Linked DNA regions of Struthio camelus. The protein of the gene in region 2 interacts with the protein of the main gene of each other region in a pairwise test. Links are inferred from orthologs where the notes say so. Each region holds a gene or a part of one and is shown on either strand. Other genes may lie near its edges.

Evidence for each region.
Region 1: the proteins of DMD (region 2) and CTNNAL1 interact in binary tests that used the Homo sapiens proteins (3 or more experiments, as listed by UniProt). The two-hybrid records come from large-scale screens. The link is inferred for Struthio camelus from reciprocal best matches to the Homo sapiens genes DMD and CTNNAL1.

The regions. Positions count from the first base shown.
Region 1 is NC_090943.1:74,944,628-74,951,829, forward strand, and holds the start of CTNNAL1 (alpha-catulin), read left to right. Parts: upstream 1-4,201; 5' UTR 4,202-4,377; coding exon 4,378-4,503; exon of another isoform or gene 4,504-5,074; coding exon of another isoform or gene 5,075-5,098; intron 5,099-7,202. UniProt on the Homo sapiens protein: May modulate the Rho pathway signaling by providing a scaffold for the Lbc Rho guanine nucleotide exchange factor (ARHGEF1).
Region 2 is NC_090942.1:130,523,885-130,530,861, forward strand, and holds the start of DMD (dystrophin), read left to right. Parts: upstream 1-3,959; 5' UTR 3,960-4,019; coding exon 4,020-4,116; intron 4,117-6,977. UniProt on the Homo sapiens protein: Anchors the extracellular matrix to the cytoskeleton via F-actin. Ligand for dystroglycan.

The sequences.
Region 1 (7,202 bases), on a different chromosome or scaffold from region 2:
GAAAGATGATTGATGTGCTTTCCCCTTCCACTCTGCTCCAACTTTATCCTCACCTGGAGGAAAGAGAGAGGGAGCTCAAGGAAAGCAATCTGATCCTTAGCCCTAATCTGATCCTTAGCACTAAGCTCTGCATTCCAGACTACAGCTGGTATATCTAGGAATATATATATCTATCTAGGAAGCAATGGAGGCACTACTTCCTGTTACCTCTGCATATTTGGGATGTCCTACGTGGGAGGATAAAAGAGCAATTACCAGCTTTTGGAATCCATCCTCAAAGTGTTATTAATTTAGGTAATTCCTATGTCTTATTTGATTAATTATAAATATACATGTAAAACTGCTCAGTTACCAAATTTACTGAAAAGTCCTCTGATCTCATCAGCTATTTTTTCCAGCATTTCCTTGTTCTCTGTGCTGTGTTTCCTAGACCAACTGCTCTTTGGGCCACAAACTTTTAGGTTCTTCTTCACAACACACAAGTTCAAACCTGTATTGACTGATTTCATTGTTACATGGTATCTGCTTTACTATGTATGTCTCAACAATGCACACATAACAGCTCTAACAACCTGTTTCCTAAGGGTTAGACACAAGGTTTCTCACAGTTGAAAAGGTTTCTGCCCTCATTGGTGACCTTATTCCAGTCAAAATGACCAGATTAGCAAAAACAGTTTTACCGTTTAAGCTTAACCTTAATCTCATTTTGCTTTAAATAGCCCAGGGAAAACACACACACACACACACACATCTTAGCTGGAAGGTAAGAGGAGGTGCTATTCCATCACCTGGACAGTGATGACTGGCTAGAAGGTAAGCTGAGGCTGATTGGCAACCTCTTCAGACAAGTCAAAGTACAGGTGGAATAAGATGTGTTTACTCATTAGTACATTTCATATCATTCCCATTAAAGCTAAGAGGCCATCATCCATGGCCTAACTATGCGTAAAAGCTCAAAACAGCTCTCCTTCTTAGGAGAGTTGTCATTGTTGGGGCACATGGGACATTAGAGAACAGACTGAGACTTTTGGCTCAGCCATGTGCTGGGCTGTTTTCTCCTACAAAAGGTGCATCAGGAAGAAGAGGGAGAGATGAAGAGCTAGACTAGGGAACATGAGAAAAGCAGGGACTTAACAATGCTGTGGTTTACCTTTTATGTGGGAACCCAAGCTTGTGGGAGATCATGGACAGAGGAGCAGAAGGTGTCCCATCCTTGGGTAAAGTCTAGAAGAGATATGAGGAAGAATAGATTGACCTGTTCATAATGCTGTGGGGATACGAAACACTTCCTTCCCCTTGATAACTGACAAAGTTATGAGGTTAGAAATATAGTCCATTAGGCATGACTCTTGTCCTCTATCCTTGTACTTCAGATACCTTTCAGATAACAGGTAGAGGTGAACAGTAGTAGCTATCTAGAAACTGCAGTGGCCAGTGGTCCTCCTCCTGCATTATAGGAGTGAGGAGCATTTTCTTTGGGATGGTGGGCTATTGCTTTCCTGAATCTGTCACATGGGCTGAGAATGATAGGAGAAAAACATTCTAGCTCTGTGCATTATACATTTAGACTGCTCCCTCTGAAGTGTGTGTTGTCATGCCAAAGGTGTAGTTGTTATCTATCACAGTGGCTCATTCAAATTGCCTTAATATAATTAAAAAGCACAATTAACCTCCAGGCTATCATGTTTGAAGATCTCCTCAAGATATCTTCAAAGATGTCAGTATGCAGCATTCTAGAGCTTTTCAATTGTGTTAAATTAAAACCATCACAAAATGCACTGTTTGTCTAACACAGGACCTGGAAGCAGAGCATGTGGTTTCCACGTTTAAACTGGAAGGACATGAAGTGAGAGAGCTAGACAATGTTGTCACTAGCTTGACTTACTAATGCTACTTCTCTAGTGAAGGCAAAAGGAAAGGAGAAGACAGTGGTAGATTGTGAATAGGACTTCTGCCTGCAGAAAGCAGTTGCAAAATTCCTACTCACAAATCAGGACGTTTGCCCAATCTGAGTAGAAAAGGATTTTAAAATGCTATTTTTGTTGTCTTTTTTTTTTTTTCCTCAGGACAAAACTTGTTTTCTTTTTCAATGTGAAGTAAAATGGTGCAGGGAAACTATATCCCAAAGGAATGTAGTTGTCTCTCCCTCTCTCTTGCACTACTGACACTTTGTCTGATGTATGCCTCAGCTCATACAATCCAAAGTCCCCTGTACAGCCTTGTGGAGTTTGCATCCAGGCTTGTCCTAAGCACTAAAACATAATAGAAGACAATAAATGTTCTGGAAGGCTTAGAATCAAGGTATTGAGAAAGATATAAAGGGAGAACAAATGATGTGGAAAAGAATGAGAGATGTTTTAAGTAAATGGATAGAATTTCAGAGAAACAGAGGAAAAAAAACAAGAAATCACAAGTGTGTTCTAAACCACTTTTATCAAACATGACTCACATTTATTTCAAAGTCTACCCCACCATCTAAATGATTTTGTACCACAGTAGATTTAAGTCTTCAGTTCTTTCCTGTAATACTTGATGCTGTAAAGGTGTCATTTTAGAAAGTATGATATGAGACCATGTTTAGAAAATATGATATGAAACCAATTTCCTGAAGAGCTAGGAATAGGGTCATACTTTTATCTAGGGTTATACTAGTAGTTCTGACAATTTTCTTTTTTAATAAATATGGAAGACTCTGTAGGACAACAGATGCTATCCTTTTTAACCTTCTGTCCAGGTTTCAATATTTAGCTAGAGATGTTGTAATCAAATAGGTCAGAAGTGTTTCTGAAGACAGAAAATGAGACAAAATCTTTGTAAAAAATGTAAAAAAGCCAAAAGACATTTTACACAGTTGTTTTGTCTGAGCTCAGAGTAGTTAAACACAAATCAGTTCTGACTAGGAAACTAAATAGCTATGTTAGAGTAGTTCGTGAGCCTAAATCCTAAGTAGGGCTTGTTGGCTCCATGCATTGAGTTACCCCCATTCTGGACTAGAGCTGCTCTGCACCTTGGTAGTTTGGATCACAGCCATAAGAGCTTGCTACTGTTCCCACAAGTTTGGGCAGACAGGCCTGTAGAAGAATCAGCATTATCAAATACATAGTCAGATTAGATGAGTAAGCAGTCATGCATTGATATTTCTAGACTATAGGTCATAAACTAATGTGGGGAGGTGAGTTTAGTCCGTTCCTAAAGCCAAAGAAAACATTCATTCATTTGAAAATATTTTTGCATTCTTCTTGCTAAATCATCCATAGATGTTCTGCTTTAGCACCAAAGCTGGGTAATGTCAGATACATATGAAAGTTGTCCTCTAAACCAGCCAATGTGCAGGCATAGGAAACAAATCATTGAAAGGAGGGAGGTGAGTTTTTCACTGGGAGGCTGCAAAAGGGGAAGAAGAAATTTAATTTAATACAGCTAACCAACCTTTGCAGAGATCACATAAAATAAACTAATCTTGACTTAAATAATCTTCAGTAATACAGTGACTGTGTAGCTAACTTTCCAGTTCCCCCTGTACCCGTGTCCCTGATTTCCTGCCTGGGACTACCCTTCCCCTCAAATTTGTGCTGGCTAGGGTGGGTGAAGCAGAAGTCTGGCTACGCACCTGGACTCTCGTTTTCTGGAAGGCTACCCAAGCCCTGCAGCCACTGCAGAGCGTGGACCCTTGCCCCAGCTGCAAACATGCACAGGGAAGAGACTTCCACACCCAGGCACGGATCCTCGAACCTGGGTGTTTCGACCCTCCGACGCCGCCATCCTGGGAGAGGCCGCCTACCTACGGCAAGGAAAACGCAAACCAGGTCGGGGCGGCTGCCGAGGGGGCAAGCACCAGTCCTTCCTCCAGCGGCTCGAAAGTTCAGCGTAGAGCCCTGCGTGGGCAGCGGGGAGGTAGCGAGGCTGATACGGGACACGGGTGCCACTCACCCGCCCAGTCCCGGGAACACGGCCGCAGCACGGCTGCACTCGCTTACCCGCCGCGTGGGGGGAAGGGGAAGCCGGGAGGCTACGCGCGCTCGCCTGCGCGGCGGGGGTTGGCGGAAGCGCCCCGCTCCGGGACACGGCGTGGGAGAGGCGAGTGCAGGGTGGGGGGAAGGCTGCCGGTAGTTGTGGTGCTAGCGCCTGGTGAGGAGAGTGCAGAAACTGGAACTGTCGCTTTAAATCCCATCCCATCCCAAGGGGGCGTGGAAGGGGCCGTGGGGGGGGGGAGGAGGTTGAGCGCGCGCGCGTGCGGCATCTCTGTGCGCTTCGGCAAGGCAGCGGTGCCCTGGCTGGCGGGGGCGGGGCAGGGCAGCGCAGGCTGTCGTGTGGGTAGCGGCCGGGAGGAGGGGAGTTGGTTTCGAGGGAGTTGGGGGTCCTTCTCTGCTCCCCGCCATGGCCATGTCTCCGTGCAGCAGCAGTGGTGTTTCCTCGTCGTCCTCGTCGGGATTGGGGACGGACGCAGGACTGGAGATCCGCACGCGCTCCGTGGAGCAAACGTTGGTTCCGCTGGTGTCGCAGGTAGAAATCCGCACCGCTGAGCCTGTCCTCCCTCCCCCAGCCGGGGGTAGGGCGGAAGGGAGCGGTTCCAACCGCCGGCGGAGGCATGGCGCGGGTGGGTCCGGTTGCCCCCCTTCTCGGCCGGCTCTGAGCTTGGCCGCGGCAGAAGTTTGTGCGCTCGGCTCTCGCCGCTCTGTAGTTCCCCTGTTTGCGGAGGCAGCTTCACTTTGCTGCTCCCTCTCCCTCCTGTTTTCTTCTCAACCAGCATCCTGGTCCCGGAGATCCCGCTGGGGCTGGGTCCCGCCATCTGGCCTGGGACGGGATCTCCCGCTCCTTCAGGGCCCTGTGCGGGGGAGGGGGCAGGAATGCCGCTCCCAGAGGGCGGCGGGCTCCGGAGAGGCACCTGGAGGGGTGCGCGCCCTCTCACACGTGTCCCCCGGTAAAACTCCTGGCGCCGAAGTTTCCCGCAAGGTTGCGGTGGCGTTGCGTAACGCCTGTGGCAAGCCACTGCGTTGCCGTACGTGTTTTAAACGCGGGATGCTGCAGTTTGGAGCGCAGGAGCTGGGAGACGGCGTTGGTTTGGCTTCTCTTCATGTGCCTGAGTGGTGAAATGTGTGTAAGTTATGCGGCTGGAACTATTAACGTTGCTCTTAAAACAAAAGTATTTCAAGAGGCTTTTCAAGTCTCTTGCCTTCGGTTTTTCAGCTTGTGAATATTCTCTTTTTCTAACTTTTTGATACTGGAGAAAGCAGTCGATTTTCAGGGGATTTGTCTAAACGTAGTTATTTTCACTGTCAGGCCTGAATGTTGCATTCATTTGAATTCTGATCACATCCGAGGCTACTACTTGAATTTTAAAAAGTTAAATAACATGTAAACTGTGCTTTTGTGACCTCTTAATGTGTCCCACACAGTGCCAGCTAGGCTTAAAAGTCTGATTTTTTTTTTTTTTCTTCCCTAAAGTGGTCTTAAGTGGTGAATGTATGTGATTCTTTAAGTGGTAAATATATGCAGACCACTTCATTTTATCAACTCCTAAGTTTCAAAATTAGAGTTTGATACACCTGATAAATTTGTTCTTCTTTGTGTATATTATTTTGATTCATTATTTTTCAGTATTTTCTTTATAGTATTTTTGTGCTTTTATACTGGTTATTTTTATACTGGTTATAAACGTTAGCAGGTAGAAACCTATGACATCCACACAAAGTCTTTATACAATGTGTAGCATTCATACAAAAATCACTAGCCCTTGTGATGGAAAGTGGTATCTATACTAACATAGCCCATCTGGAAGCAAACTTTTGTGAGCCTCATTTTGCATTTGTAACAGCCAGGCATCAGGAAAGGTTTGCAGTAGGGTAATTGAGGTTCTGTACTTACCAGTGCAGTTAGTTGTCCTCTGTTTAAAGAAGTCTCCATCAGTTCAAAGAATTCCATCTCCAGGATTTTGCTTTGAAGGCAAAATCAAATCAAAGATAAAGTTCAATGAATTTTCCACTCCTGAAGCAATTCAGGGAGGTAAAATATTGAGACTACTTTTAGGAAGCTTGAAAACGAACAAGCAAAGAAACAATTGCAGAGGGCAAACTTAATTGCAAAAGTTTAAATTCTTACTTTTGACAGATCTCTGTGAAGAATTCTTATTCTTCTGGAATAATAATGGTGGTCTTGCTTCATTGTGGATTCACTGCACATGTAACATGTCATGCATGATTTGTTGTTGACCACAAAATCTATGACTGTGTCTTCCAGAAATGTTCCACATCTTTCACGTGTACAATACAATGTGTTCTGAGCATTTCTGAGTACTCAGTTCTTATTCTTTTCCTGGTAAAGTGCTCTGAACTTCAGGTGAGCTTATTCCCTTGAATCTTGAGTACTAAGAGTTCCAGTCAGATCAGCCTATAAAGTTGCTAATGACGTCAGCTGTAGGGCATTCCATAGGGCATGTTCAGTGAACTACTTGCTGTGCTGTTTTATGAATTCTTTCTTTACTATTTCTTGTAAATTGTTAAGTAGAGGTCTGGCTGTTAACTGTAGGTTTTCTTTGCTTGGGTATTTTTGCAGAAATGGTGTTTATTAATATAGATTGTTTTACTTGTTTCTATATGCTGCTCAGTTTACACGAGCTGCGTATCTGCAGAAGTGTTTGGGACTTTATTTTTCTGCTTGTACAAAATACACTTGCAAAGTTTTTTTTTTTTTTTTTGCTCTGAGGTTAATAAGTTTATTTCTGGAACTATTTTGTTCAGTTTAAAAAAAAAAAAACTTGTATTTGTATGCTACTGGAAAAAAATACTCAGAGCGTTGTTATTGGTTTTCACTACTTCTTTTAAGCAAAGAGGAAGACAATAGGATGCTATGTCTGTCAGACTCGCTTTCAATCTCCTTTGTTTAGCCAAACCTCTTTTTCCTTTTTTAGCAAAAAATGGCTGCGTAGACCCTTAATTGATGCACTGTTTAGTACATTGTACTAATTGATGTATAGTACTTTTTTTAAGGTTAGTATTTATAAACTTGAGCTTGGTCTTCATTTTACCTGAATCTGTTTAGAGCTTAATGTGGCCCTTTTATAATAGGGCCACAACTGCAGACTCAAGCCACAGTATTCCATATTTACTAATATTTTTTTCTAACTGTCTACATATCCATACTCTGGACAGAGTCATTCTACAGTATAGCACAAAGCATATGTGATAAAATTCAGAAAATATGGT
Region 2 (6,977 bases):
AACAGCTGACTTTTATCATTATATGTGAGGAATTCTATAATTAATAAATAATGAATATAGAAGGCAAAATTATAAGAATTATAATTAATAAGAATTATTAATAAGAGGAAATAATTAATAATTCCTGCCTGTGTAGTACAAACAAACCTTCCGATGCTCCCTCTGGAAGTGTTTATTAATATAAACATATCTAATACATCATTAAGGTGTTTTCTTGGGTGGCTTATTGAACAAATTAGTTATTTATTACGGGAGGGGTGAAGTAGGTAAGAATACCGGTAAACAGCGAAAAAGCAAAGAGAAATAGATTTGCTACCAGGAGACATATTAGCACAACAAATGAACATTTTTTTGCCAGATAAAATCAGCATTCATTTCATATCAGAGAGTGCATCATGTAGAGCATGTGAGGCTGAATTGAAGGTCAAGGCCAGTCTGCTTGCTTCATTTTTCAGTGAACCATTACCTCCTTGTGCTTAGTTGGAGTCATTAGTACCTCCAAAGAGGAAAACTAAAGAGAGAAATGGCAACAAGAAGAGATTCTACAGGGTATCATAGTTATCACTGTAATGTGCACACACAACCATAATCAAACTCACACACACTGAATAAACCAATTAGTCGCTCTAGTAGCAGTGAAGCAATTAAAATGTATAGACATATCTGCACCATAAGTTGTAGATGGACTAGGAAAAGAGAGGGGCTTTCTTCCTTTTTCACCCCTTTGTCAGCCAAATAGACTGGAATTTCTCAGCCTGCTGAGTTCAATACTGTAAAAAGTAGAATTCTAGTTGGTCACTGTCATTCCACTTGTCATTTATTTCTGCTTTAAAACTGGGGACAGTGCTGTATTAGAGAAAAAAATACGTATTTGTGTACTGAGGAGTCCATGTCGATGGAAAGCTGCAGTCGAGCTTTCTCTCTAAAGCAATTGATTCCATAAGGGTGGGTGACTATAATTGTAACTAGATTCAGCATCTGCATAGATATAATAAGCAGGAACCAAAACTGTTGTTTTCTCAGACAAATGCAGAAAAGCTAGACCAAAGCCAGCTATTAATCCGGCCTATTAGTATGTGGACGGAATGACTGATACTGGTTTCTCCTCCCAAATTCTCCATTTGTCTCTGAACTCTTTTTCTATACAGATCATGTAAAGAGAAGATGCCCATACTGGTATATTACAGTTCCCTTCTCCAAACAAAATTTTTTTTCCTCTTTTTTTTCCAGGGGCAAACCCAGCTCTGATCTGAAGAGGAATGGTCTGTGCAGCTAAACTACAGGATGTTGATTGTACGCTGTGCTGGAGGGCAGTAGTATTAAACAATATACCCTGATGGATCCTCCTTGTAATACCATGCTTATCTCTCTGGAAATGTTTTTCATAATTTCTTTTTTGTCCCCTATTAGCCATGCCCTCCTTTTTGTACTTCCTTCTAAGGGGCTGGTTTCTGTAGTGGGAAAAGATTCTGCTAAAAATCTATATTTATGATGCTGCTATACCAGATACCCCCATTCTCTTACCAGCGTTATCTGGCTTATGTACCTACAAAGTATTTTTCCGAACATGTCCATCTCTAACCTTGCATAGCTCAAAATTCGTTGAAATAGAAATCAAGTCTGCAGTGAGTTTTTACTTGTCTTATCATTGTGAAAAACCTACCGCACAATTACAGGCTATATGAGCTACAAACTCAAACTTTTCTTTTGTGAAATAACATTTAAATTCCTTGCTACTGACTCTGTGGTTTAAAAATCATAATGCAGTGTGAAATATTAAGCATATCCTTTTATATACTTTGAATTTATGGGGACTTCAAAGACAGTCCTCATTTATTGCCTGGTTTGTTTCACTTCAGAAATGACTTGAACTGTGAACAAAAAGGAAGTGACAATATTTTCAGATAGGCACTTTATAGTTGTGCACTTTGCAACTATACGATAGGACTGTCTCTGCTGCCTTGCATGCAGGATTAGCTTGTTGATATGTGCTGCTACAGACAGAGGAACAGATGCAGTAATTCTACTTTATTTACATGAAATCTCTAAAAAGACATTTTCTGGCAGCATGCTAGGAATAAATACGGTATCAAATACAAACTGCACCACGTTATGTGAGCTTATTCAGGTGCCAGCTGTGCCATTTAGATACAGGCTAGAGCAGGCAGTCGAACCCTAACAGCAGAGCTGGGAGGTCTCCCGCGCTCGGCACCCACCGGTGCCAGCTCATTCCCAGCGCTGCCTGTGGGGTCGGGGTTTGCACCCTGCTGCTGCCCCGTGCCTGTGGCCAGCGGCATGTCCAGGCTTTGCTGCTAACCTCGGGGATCAGCTCTGCAAGCAGCGCAGAGGGATGTGCCCTGCGCCGCCCTTGGGGAGAGCGCTGTTGAGGGAGGCTGAGAGGTAGCTATGAGACTTCCTGAATTGTTTTTAAAAGTAGTGAGAGATTCTCTTGCCTTGGGGTTGTGGGTCCCCCCCCCCCAGACTTTCTCTGATATATAGCTCTCCTAAGCTCATGTTTTCTAGCTTTTTTTCATAGCCTTTGGGTACTTAACTGAGAATAGGAAATTGTGGGGAGGAAGGGAGCAAAGCGGTAGGGTTGGAGGGGAAAGCATGGAGAAGCTAAACACATCTATTGGAGAGAGGATTTTTTGTTTTGTTTTGTTTTTAAGAAAAAATGAATCTTTTGCGCTAGGAATGCGAGAACTGGTCCAGAGCTGGATGACGCAGCGAGGTAAAGCTCCTTGTGAGGGACTGTGCCCTTTCCCCTTCGTCACTCCTTCTTTTGTCATTGTGTAAAGGCTGGGGAGGTGAGACTCTGGTGTTAGTCCTCCTCCTCCCTCCCTACTTCGCTTAAGTAATGTATTGTGGCCAATCAGTTGCAGTTTTAAAAAGCCTTTTTTTTTTCCTGGCTTAAGCATTCAAACTTTTCAGTGTAGTGTTGGGGATGTTTATTCAATCTCTGTGCAAGCAGATGCATTAAAGATGAACTGCCGTGACTCTGAATTTCAGGCAGAAGCGGTGGGAGGAGACCCAGCTAATTTAACTTGGTGGATGATTGATGTCTCTTTGTCAATTTGTATTAACACTCATTTGAAATCCCTGACGCAAGCCTGCTTCCCCCCTCCCCCCCACCCCGACAGGAAATATAAATAGAAAGACAACAGAACAGTCCTACCCCTTTAATTCCCAGTACTCAGAAGCAGTTAAGTGAACTCTGTCATTATGGAGTGTCCTCCACAGCCTGGCGAAAAACAGCTTCTGGCAGTGTTCTTGCCACTTTAAGAATATCAAGATGCTGTAACAGAGCTATCCACTTACTGCTAGAATGTATAAAACACAAAAAAGGGAAAGTCACCTACAGGTAGATCTAGATATATTGCTTAAAAATCTCCTGTTTCTTCATTAGACAGCCATTCACTGCAATGAAAGAGAGCTAAATATAATTTGTCGAGGTGTAGCTCTGAAAGCCACGTTTAAAATGAAACAGTTGAGAGCCTGAATGCACAGTACTGTTATTCAGAAGTAGCTTTAGAGCAGAGAGTTTCAATGGGAAGGTGCTGTTTAGTTGGACACAAATCAGCAAGCATTTAACTGAAGTGTGAATAAACCAAGTGTGCATGAGGCGCAGTGCTTTCTGCAAAGACGAAATGCAAAAATATTAAAAAAAAATCTTTAAACACTTGCATCAGCCTTAGAGGACGGTGTGAGCAGCAGGATGCGAAACCGATTTGCAGATGCACTCTCTTCAGGCAGCGAGAGTGCTCATTAAATGCAAGATGCTTCTGGGGCTCGCGCGTGCACACGGAGGTATAGGTTTGCAAGACTGACGTATCAGATAAAGTCAGAGTGGTTACCACACCGACGGAGTAGCAGCTGCATAATAAATGATGGAGAGAATCATGTTAGGCATGCCCACCTAACCGAACTTGAATCATGCGAAAGGGGAGCTGCTGGAATTCAAATAGACTTTCTGGTTCCCAGCAGTCGGCAGTAATAGAATGCTTTCAGGAAGATGACAGATGCAGGGAGAAGATGCTGTTTTGCACTATCTTGATTTGTTACGGCAGCCAACTTATTGGCATGATGGAGTGACAAGAAAAGCAGCTGGCATGGAAGGTAGGCTTATCAAAGCTATTGCATCATTATGAATGTAATTAGAAAGTGACCATGACAAAGCATATGTTAGAATGAGCTGCGGCTGACGGCAGAGGATTTGTTGCTGAGGTCTTGAAACTCTGGAAACAATGTTCCTTTTGCAAAATGGATTTTGTAATTTCATTTCTGCTTGTGTTACTTTTTTCTTATGCTCGCCTCTAAGCTCAGGGAATCCCTTGCCTGAAAGAGAGCGTTATGTTAGGATGAGGTTGAAGACTAAAGTCTTTTCTAAGTCTGTGAAGCCTCAGGTAGATAGAAACAAACAGATGTGAAACAACACTGGCAAAGGCTCCATATGATTTACCAGCCAGCTCTGATTGATGTATTGGCATATTGAGGAATCCCACGGAAATGAAGATGCATGTATTAAATGTGTTGATGTAATGAAAAGATACTACTGCAGGTTTCTGCTTTATAGTTACTCTGACAGGTTTTATTCCCCATCAGTTTTTAGCTCTTGACATTTATTCGGTTGTTCAGTATTATATAAAGAAAATACATCAATATCTCCTGCAGGGTTTTTCAACAACTCTGGCATCTGTTTCAGCTATTGAACTGTATTCACGTTTTGCCAACTTGATGTCTACCCAGCTGGTCTATCATTTCTCGCTTGATTACTGCTCTTAATTTCTCTGTATCAGCTTGTTTCAGATAGGATTTTGAAAGCTGTTAATGAGAAATGACGGCAACTGCTAAATTATTGAGAATTGGCATATTGTCTTATTTTTGAAACATCAGAGAGCAGTTTTGCATGTATTTTATTAAATTCATATTCCATGTTGCAGTAATGTTTTCATATAACCACTACATTTTAGCCGTGAATACTTTAAACCAGATGAGTCATAAGTATAACTTTAGACTGCCTGTTTTAAGAAAGTTTGAGATCATTTAGAGGTGCTTACTTTGGTCTAGGTATCATCTATATATATGTTCCTTCATTCTGTCTGTCTCCCCCCACCAGCCCCCCAACATATATACTCCCTCTCTGTCGTGGTGAGCAATCCTCAAGTGTATACTGTACATATTGAAATATATTTTATCACCACTAGGGTGAAACTGCTAAGCAGTTCTGAACAGGTGATTTGAACAGGTTTAAAACAGATGTCAGCTGTGTCAAAGTGGATTGTTCTGGGTCTGAAAAGGAAAAGTGCTGTTTTGTGAGAGTAAGGCAGAGGCTTATTTTGCTTCACCTTTGGAGGTACAACAACCATTCAAACACTGCTTGATAGCCCCCAGGAAACAATCATTGGATTGGATTATTTTGTAATACAATGTGCTTTCTGTAGACGCTCTTCATGCTTAGGTATATCTTTTTTTTTTTTTTTTCCAAAATGATATTCAAAAAATCTCCTATCACACTGGATGTTCACTTTCTAACTTTGTTTTAAATTACTTTGCTGGCTGTAAGCTAGGTAGTCTTGCCAGAAGAGAATCGGGCTATTAAAGGCTAAGTGTTGCTGACTAGATCTATAACAGTTTTTAAAAAGATAGGTGTTTCTAGATACACAGCAGTGAACCAGCCTTTAAAAAGTTTGAAAATAAAGATCAGTAAAACTATACTCTTAGGCAATTTGAGCATTTTTGTGCTTTGATCACCTCTGGGAGGCATTTTAAATTATTTTATAACTGCTAGGAGGGAAGAAGTGCTTATTAATGGACAAAATCACTATCAGGTTTGTATAGTCACCAGTAGTTCTATGATTTTGATGATAAAAACTATTGTTATGCTATTTCAGAGAAGTTCTGTTAGGTTCAAAGGTAATTTGTCCTTCTTGTTGATTATAAAACCATAGAGAGAATAACCCATATAAGCAGCTTAAGTGTCATTTACCTTTTCAGGGTAGCAGTAAAACCATTTTATATTGCATGAGGTATACTTCTGAAGCTGTTGGTTGTTCTTTGTCACAAGACTGCTGGCTGGCTATCATCAGACGGTAGTTATTTTAAATATTATTTTGCTTGTGATGACAGTATCATAATTGCATGCCATCTGTGGCCACCATCCAGCTGAAAAGTGATTTTATAGTTTGCTTCTCTTTTGTCAATAGTAGTTAGTTTTAGCTTTTTGTTTCGCTGATGAATTAAGAAGACACTAGGTGGAGCTAGCTATTGATTCTAAAGAGAGATACAGTAATACAGGCCTGTCTAATGAGCAAGCCCGTGTATGTAGTGATTATTATAAAATATAACAATAAAAAATAGGTAAAGCTTGGAGCTGGACCTTAGTCATGAAATTGGAGACCTGATGGCGTTAAAGGAAACGACTTCACCATTTTTCTTTCTTTTTATTATTTTATATCAGAGATGATAATAATAATAAAGCATCTATATTCAACAAAGAAGGCTGGGAAGCAAAAGAAAGGAAATAAAGGATGAAAAGAGGAGAAAAGCAACAATAGGAGCCAACAGATGCTTTCATTGCAGATACCTGCAGAAATCCAATCGTGTATCTGTCTTATTTTAGTCTGTTGCATGTAAATTTTTCTCTCTTCTTTACATATAAATCCCTCTTTCCTGTCTTCCTGATTTAATTTATATAGCTGACATCTGTCACTTTATAGTTAGCTATGGGACCAATGTTTTGAAATCATTTCTTGCAAGGGTGATCTAAAAGGTGTGCAGGGGCACAGGAAGTTGTCACTCACATGTTGGTTAGCCTTAATTAGGAAATATGTAAAAAGTTATTTATTGATAGAGGTGGAAGCTGATTATTTGCACTCCTAAATATTATTTTAGTTATTAAACCTTCAGTATAGGATAAGGATTCTGTAATCTTAGGTAGTGTAATCTTACTTTCATGTCCGTTTCCTGTTCGTCTTTGT